2 linked regions of the Callithrix jacchus genome follow. The protein of the gene in region 2 purifies or fractionates together with the protein of the main gene of each other region. This does not show direct contact. Links are inferred from orthologs where the notes say so. Each region holds a gene or a part of one and is shown on either strand. Other genes may lie near its edges.

Region 1 (3,500 bases), on a different chromosome or scaffold from region 2:
TGACAAGAGTTCTGCTCCCCAGGGTCAAGAGCTCTTAAGCAGGGCTTCACCAGTTCAGTGGCAAATATCAGACAAGGCTCTCACATTCCAAAGCGGGTACATGGGGTCTTCTGTTCTCCCATGATGATCAGAGCAACAGTCTGGACCTACAGAAGACTTTCCAGGAATGCTTTCTCACAAGGGCTGTCAGCCACCACTGTAAATCAGAAACCAACCACCAACTTACTCTCCTAGACAGCCCCCGCAACCCAAGTATACACAGAGAGAGCATGCAGGGGCAGGGTCCTTCCCCTGATGGTAGGCTCTCTTAGCATCTGCGGGCCTTGATTCTTGCTGGCTGTGCATGGTGCCAGGGTGCACTGCCCTGCTGTGTGGCTTATCCATGCCCCGAGCTTGATGGACAGGCAAATGGACAGTGCCAGTGGCAGCTGAACCATACTCCCAGTGACAGGCACCCAGAGCCCCTGTGAGTACTCAGGGCATAGGCCTGGGGCCCTGTCCCATGATCTTGTCTTTGCATCTTGGCTGGAGTCAGTCAGCAGCCATGGGCCTGGGCTTGGAGGTCCTTGGAGGTCGACCACCTTGGAGGTGGTGGCCAGTCCCTGGAGAACAGGTAAGATGGGGCCATAAGCTCCAGGGAGCGCAGTCTGGCACCTGGCACAGAGGATGGGGGCCTTCACTGTCTTCTGGTTCAGTTGTGGTGGGACAGTATGCCTTCATGCCCCATGCAGAAATTCCTCTTCTCCCAGAAGCCCCTCAAGGTCAAGGCTTGTCAGGACTTGTGGCTGGCGTGCTCTGCTGATGAGCTGATGAACATGCTGTAGTCTCCTCCTGAGGGCGCTAGCTCTCCACTCCTGCCCACGCTTTGACACCGTGAACCCAAAGAGGACATCTTACAGGGAGCCAAGCAGGGCATGCCATGCCGTGGTGGCCAGGCTTGGTTCACTTCAACAAGAACCAAAGCATGGTCGCCACAGAGAACAGACAGAATCCCCATTGCATGTGGACCTGAGCCCAGAACCTAGGCTGTCTCCCAACATCTAGAATGTGCAAACAGGGCTCCAGCTTCCACTGCTCTGACCATGACGCTGAGGCAGGCAGAGCACATTTATAAGGGGATAAGCAAGAAGACCACATCAGTGCTCCCGAAAGAGGTCAAGGGGCAAGGAGCTTCCCAAAGCAGCCCCAGGCACAGTTGCACAGTCATTCCTTGCTTGCCCTCATGCAAGCACTGAGCTTCACACACTTCAATGACTTCAGCTTCGCCTGAGAGCCCAGCAACAACTCTACACCCCAACCAGAACACATGCAAGCAGAACAGCGTCAAAACAACAGCAAGCAGAGAGCAGGGGAAAGACATGCTGCCTGCAGTGGCTGGTTGCTGTGGAGACAGAAGCACATGATCCCAATTTGTTGGGATATCCTCTCTTGCATTTCAAACACCTTCACTCAGTGTCAGCCACAGCGGCCACCACACAGCAGCTGTCACTGCACCTTCTCTGGAACAGTCTGGAGATGCAAGGTCAGGGTGGAAGGCCTGGTTCACCATTGAAAGGATGGCTAGGGGTAAACAAGACGAACAAGTCCCTAGAACACAGGGGGAGCCGAGGAGGGCGGCTGAGGACAAGGCCTCTGCCTCCCCACCGGTGAGGGTTTCCTTTCCTTCTGGTCATTAAAACTGCACAGCCCCTGGGGAGATGTTGAACATGGCAGGGTCAAATCGCTGGCCTCGGAAGGGAGAACCTTCAGCATCCCACCCCTTCTTCAGCATCTCATGGACTTTCTACAAACAGAAAATAAAGAGATTAAACAAGATCACAAGGCACTGTGCACTTTCTCCCAGAGCAGACTCTGACTGCAGGCAAAGAGCCTTCCTGCTTCCTCAGGGCTCAGGCACTCACCTGGCAAAACTGACTGGCCAGAGAACCGTACTGCCCTGGAGCAGCCTTCGACCAAGGGAGGCACTGTGTGACTAACAACTTCTCTGCAAGACTGTGCTCCACAGACTGAGTTTCTAACCCCCCATCTTCTGTCCCCAGCAAAGCTCTGGCTGCTCTTCATGGTTCATCTTGTCCCTTTTCAATCTGTTTGGAATCAACAAATTCCAAACAGCCTGCAACGTCTATGGTCCCACTAGGCACTGACTATGACATGAAGAGGAAGTGTCCCAGCCCCACTGGGGTCATAGAGAAGGTGCGTAAAATGTTCAAGCCCCATCTGATGAAGGTGTGCAGAGAGGATACCCTAGCACCCCAGTTATCAACATCAAGAACTAGATCATCAGACAATCCAGGGTTGACCCAGGATGTGGCATGGAGGAAGAGACTTCGGAATGTCCAGTGGTAGACCCCCCCAGTCAGGAATTCCCCACTGCATCCTTGCAGATGCAGTCAGAGTTGGTTAACTAAGCTGTTGCCAACATCTGGCTATTCTGGAACTATCAAGCCTCCGAGGGTCAGAAGCAAGCCTGAGTGTGTGGCCATGGCAAGGGACATTAGGAATATTGGATCCTGAGGGAAGCATCGGTACCTGAGCTAGCAGGCCCTCTCTCCTCATAGGGACTCCGTATCTGCCCTCCTCATGTGGCCACCATGAGTATACTGAGGGCTGGGGATGATCTCTCCTTCCTTCTGACATTCTGACCAGGGACAAAAGAGACTGTGCAGGGCCAGTAGTTACTCTACCAATATGATCCATGGTCCCTGTTGCAGAAAACCCTGTAGCCTAGGCCCAGAAGATGAGGCTGTGGGGCTCTCAACGCCAGGGCTTCTCCTTACATAAAACACAGTCTTCCTGACAAGAGAGTTTTCTCTTTGCTGTTTTAATTTTTAGAGATGGGGTCTCACTGTTTCCTAGGCTAGAGTGCAGTGGTGTGGTCACAGCTCAGTGCAGCCTCAAACTCCTTGGCTTAAGCGATTCTCCCACCTCAGCCTCCTGAGTACTTAAGACTACGGGTGCAGTCCACCATACTTGGCTTCTTTTTCTTTTTTTAAAATCGAAGTGATGCAGCAACAAGCATATCAAAGATGTGTACTATATACTACAGATTAATTGACATTACTATCAATTTCTTGTGGGCAATTCACATCAGAGACTTTAGAAAGACCATTTTGAGAACAAGGTCCTGCAGCACACATGGAGTGGCTAGGGGTACAGAGAAGACTACATGAAGCCCCCTCCTCTGCCCACTGGAGGTATGAGGCTGGACAGCCTCAACCAAACACAAGAACGGATGACTTCAGCAGGCAGCTGCACAAAGCCTCTGAACCTTTCAAAAGAATCCTGGCCAGCTGTAGGGCAAATGACAGCTGTAGAACCCTGCAGCCACCACACTCGTACCCTGGGAACTGGGTGGCTGAATGGGGGCCCGATGTAGGATGCCCAGAGTGCAAAGGGCAGATTAGTAGACTTGATCTTACAACAGAAGGAGCACAGGGTGTCAAGATCAGCACTCAGACCTTTCCTGAGACAAAAGTGGACTGCAGGCATTCCTGTGTGTC
Region 2 (4,181 bases):
CACATATATGACCTCATATAGTCCTCTCAACCCTGAGAGGTTGGTAGTACTGAGTATATTTCATAGATAAGAAACAGAGGCTTGGTACGCGATTTTTCCTCAGAGTCACCCAAGTCGAACCCAGACCTTCCGATTCCTAGTTTTATGCCTCGCATTCCGCGTAGTTCTATTTCAAGCATAAATAGAATTGTTAAAGGAAAGGAACGCGTTAGGGAAAAAATAATCATGGTACCTGCAGCTGTGTGCTGCAAAAAATGGCTGAATTATGCTTCTTCCTTTTTCTTTCTCGCTCTCTCCGGGAAAAAGAAATTACATTTCAAACAATTTAAGTAAACTCAAAGACAAATGAGGTCCCGGCGTCTATCAAATGTTTGACTCGCGTCCGTGCAGAGACGGCCGGAGAATTCGTGCTTAGCTCGGGGCCGCGGGCGAAGCCCCGGCTCCGCAGGCCGGCGACCGGGGGCGGTTACGTACCTCTGGGGGTCCTGTCCAACCTCTAGTGGACGGCAGTCCGCATTAGGAAGAACGGGGCCGGCAGGCCGATGGGTGGGCGGTCGGGCGCCGGGAAGGCACTCGGCAGGCTTCTCGGACGTCTACGAGCAGCCGCTCGCGGCCCGAGCCGGGTCGCTCCGGCGGGGCACAAGTGTGCTCGCCTGCAGCCCCCTCTGAGTAAGTCCTGGGAAGGAAGACACCTCTGAGTCGCGAAACCAGACAGTCGGGCTCCACACGAGGCGGCGCGGCGTCGGCGCCCGGACCGGCCTTGCCAACGCCGGGGTCTTTGCAGCACCCGGCGGGGCTCGGCGGGAGGACCGACTGGGGCCGCGGGCGGAGGAAAGGGCTGGGGGGCAGCGGGCAGAGAGAGAAGCACCAGCGGTCGCAGCGTCAACGACGGCGTCTCCGGGCTTCTGCCCCGAAGCGCGCCGAGCCTCGGGATCACCCACGCCGGGGGTGGAGGAAGGCGGGAAAGGGGCGGGAAAGGGGCGGGGCGTGCAGGGCCACGAGCCGGGGACCGCTCCGGGCCGCGGGAGCCGCCCGAGGCCCGCCCAGGGAGGCGGGGCTGCCTGGCAGGGGGCCCCCCGTGCGCGGTTGTCTAGACGCGGAAGCCCGCCACGCTAGGAGTTCGGGGGGAGGGTGGGAAGCCGGGTGGGGAGCGGGAAGCTGGCCCGGGAGGGCCCCTCGGCCCCTGCTGGCGCCCCGAGGGAGCCAGCGCGCGGCCTGGCGGGTGTTTACCTTCCCCCTGGTCGAGCGCCAATGCCGCCATCTTTCAGTCCAAAGCGCGTCACTTCCGGCGCCACGGGAGCGGGAGCGGGTGTGGGAACGGGGGGAGGGGGCGGGGAAGGCTGTCCCGCGCCCGCTGCGCCTCGAGTCCCGGCCGCCGGCCCGCCACGCCAGCGGTGCCCCACTGAGGTAAACAGGCGACCGGGCGTCGCGGCCCCGGGCTTGGCCCGACGCAGCTTTCCCTACGGCGCCGCCGTCGGGGCTGAGGACGCTCAGCTGTCCTCGTCCCCTTGCAGCGGTCCCTCTCCCCCGGCACGAGCGCTGGGCCGGGAGCCACTGCGGTGCGCCCACCCTCGACAAGTTAAGGGCTAGGAAGCCAGGAAAGTGTCCTTTTGCATCTTTGCCACGGTGGGGGTGGGGGAATCGGGGACAGCGTGTAGGGAGCTTTGCCATTACTACCTGTTATAAAAGTGACTAGATCTGCGCCAAATGACATCATTTTTTGTAAGGCAACTTGCAGTGGATTATTGCGTCACTGTCCACTTGGCTCACTGCACAAGAATTACACGTTTCAGAAATCGATTTCCCAGGGGTGGGAAAATTAATAAAAATGGCATGTCTGCACTACCCGGAGAAATGCCGGATCTAAAAAAGCTATTCTGTCTCTACTTGCGTCAAAATAATAAAGAACGAACATTCAGAGGGTAGTGATTTTTTTTTGTTCGTTTTTAACACATCAGCTATAGAATTCTAGCTAATAGTTTTAAAATTTAACCTTTTCTTGACTTTAGAAAATAAAACTAGACTATAGGACTGTTTTGTAAATTTATTATGCAATATCTTTGTGAGAAAAGTGTAGGTGACGGAAATGCACGGTTGGAAGCCCGTGGTTCTACAATTAACCTTAAATTAGGGCATCCATTGCCATTGCTGATCCTAAACTGGGGTATTTCGGCTTCCCCCACCCCCACCCCCCGCCGCCATTTTCTCTCTAGACCAATATCCCGATGAACTTTCCGTGAGATGTGTCGCTAAAAGCGATCATTATCTCTTTCTAGCAAACTTGAACGTGCCATCTTTCCCAAGAGGCCAAAATAGCACACGGTGTACTGTTTTGCTGAAGTAGACTACTTCGTGGGAAAGATAACAGAATCACCTCAGTCTTTTGGAAATAAGCTTCCTTATTATGATTTAAACTATAACAAGCTTTAAAAAACTATAAGACACTGAAATTCCCAAGTTGTTCACACATTCTTTCCATCTTTTCTAATAGCTCCTTTAAGATATTTCTGTTCATTATTTAAAAATCCTTGCTTGCTGTATTTGTATCTAATATATGAAATTACCCCAGAATTTATCCCCTTAACACAAATTTTTTAAAACCTTAAAATAAACTTTTAAAACGCATACATTCAACTTCTGAATATTTAAATTTTCATACATTATTCCCAAACATCTAAACGCTTGAATTTTGATTTTTGTACATTAACCAACAGACATATATTTTAATCTATACATTACTATGTGGCACTGACCTGTCTAAAGAGAGGCTTCTGTTCTTGATTCAGGCAAGAGCTGAAATGTTTCTGCATTCTGTGCAGCAGGTATAAATGTAGTGAGTGATGTCATAAGCCATAGTGTGATCACCATGCCCCCTCCCCCGCCCTCCCTTATGTTGACATTACAAGGTCTCACATGTGGAATTTCAAATGTGCTTTTTTGAATATTTATTGTAGTTTCTGAAACTGGGCTGGGTCTTTCAATCAATCTAGACATTTACTATATAAACCACCTCCAAAAGTTATATTTAATCAATGATGCCTCTTTCACTCTTATTTCTTATTTTTATTTTATTATTATTATTATTATTATTTTGAGATGGTCTCACTCTCGGCCAGGCTAGAGGGCAGAGGCGCGATCATGGCTCACTGCAACCTTGTCCTCCGATGCTCAAGCGATCCTTCCACTTCAGCCTCCCGAGTAGCTGGGACCACAGGTGTGCCCCACCATGCTTGGCTAACTTTTCTGTTTTTTGTAGAGACGGCGTTTGGCCATGTTGCCCAGCATGGTCGCAGACTCCTGGGCTCAAGCGATCCGCCCGCATCGGCCTCCCAAAGTGTTAAGAGTACAGGCATGAGCCACCGCGCTCTGGCGCTCAGGAGTTTGAGACCAGCTAGGGCAACGTGGCAAGACCCTCGATCTCAATCAAAAATTAAAATTAAAAAGTAGTGTGTAATATATAAAAAGATGTAGTACCTTAATAAAACATTCTGCTCTTCCAATATCAAGGAAAGTAACTCTCTTTTTTTTTTTTTTTTTTTTTTTAAGACGGAGTTTCGCTCTTGTTACCCAGGCTGGAGTGCAATGGCGCGATCTCGGCTCACCGCAACCTCTGCCTCCTGGGTTCAGGCAGTTCTCCTGCCTCAGCCTCCTGAGTAGCTGGGATTACAGGCACGCGCCACCGTGCCCAGCTAATTTTTTGTATTTTTAGTAGAGACGGGGTTTCACCATGTTGACCAGGATGGTCTCAATCTCTTGACCTCGTGATCCACCCGCCTCGGCCTCCCAAAGTGCTGGGATTACAGGCGTGAGCCACCGCGCCCGGCCAAAACCCTCTCATTTAAATAAACTCCAGGTAATTCCTGTCTTGAAATGTTAATTTTCGGCGGGTTCTGGTGGCTCACGCTTGTAATCCCAGCACTTTGGGAGGCTGAGGCGGGTGAATCACCTGAAGTCAAGAGTCCGAGACCAGCGTGGCCAACATGGTGAACCCTTATCTCTACTAAAAATACAAAAATTAGTTGGGCGTGGTGGCCGGCGCCTGTAATCCCAGCTACTCAGGAGGCTGAGGCAGGAGAGTCGCTTGAACCTGGGAGGCGGAGGTTGCAGTGAGCCGAGATGGCGCCACTGTATCCCAGCCCGGGCGACAGAGCAAAAATTCCGTCTCAAAAAAATAAAAAAAA

What was found.
Region 1: the proteins of KLHL15 (region 2) and NUDCD3 purify together in Homo sapiens (co-immunoprecipitation; 3 studies listed by BioGRID and IntAct, with this or other methods). This does not show direct contact. The link is inferred for Callithrix jacchus from reciprocal best matches to the Homo sapiens genes KLHL15 and NUDCD3.

What each region holds. Positions count from the first base shown.
Region 1 is NC_133512.1:12,467,159-12,470,658, forward strand, and holds part of NUDCD3 (nudC domain-containing protein 3), read right to left. Parts: intron 1,784-3,500; coding exon 1,673-1,783; 3' UTR 1-1,672.
Region 2 is NC_133524.1:24,766,397-24,770,577, forward strand, and holds the start of KLHL15 (kelch-like protein 15), read right to left. Parts: upstream 2,801-4,181; 5' UTR 2,754-2,800; intron 1,288-2,753; exon of another isoform or gene 677-1,287; 5' UTR 475-676; intron 1-474. UniProt on the Homo sapiens protein: Substrate-specific adapter for CUL3 E3 ubiquitin-protein ligase complex.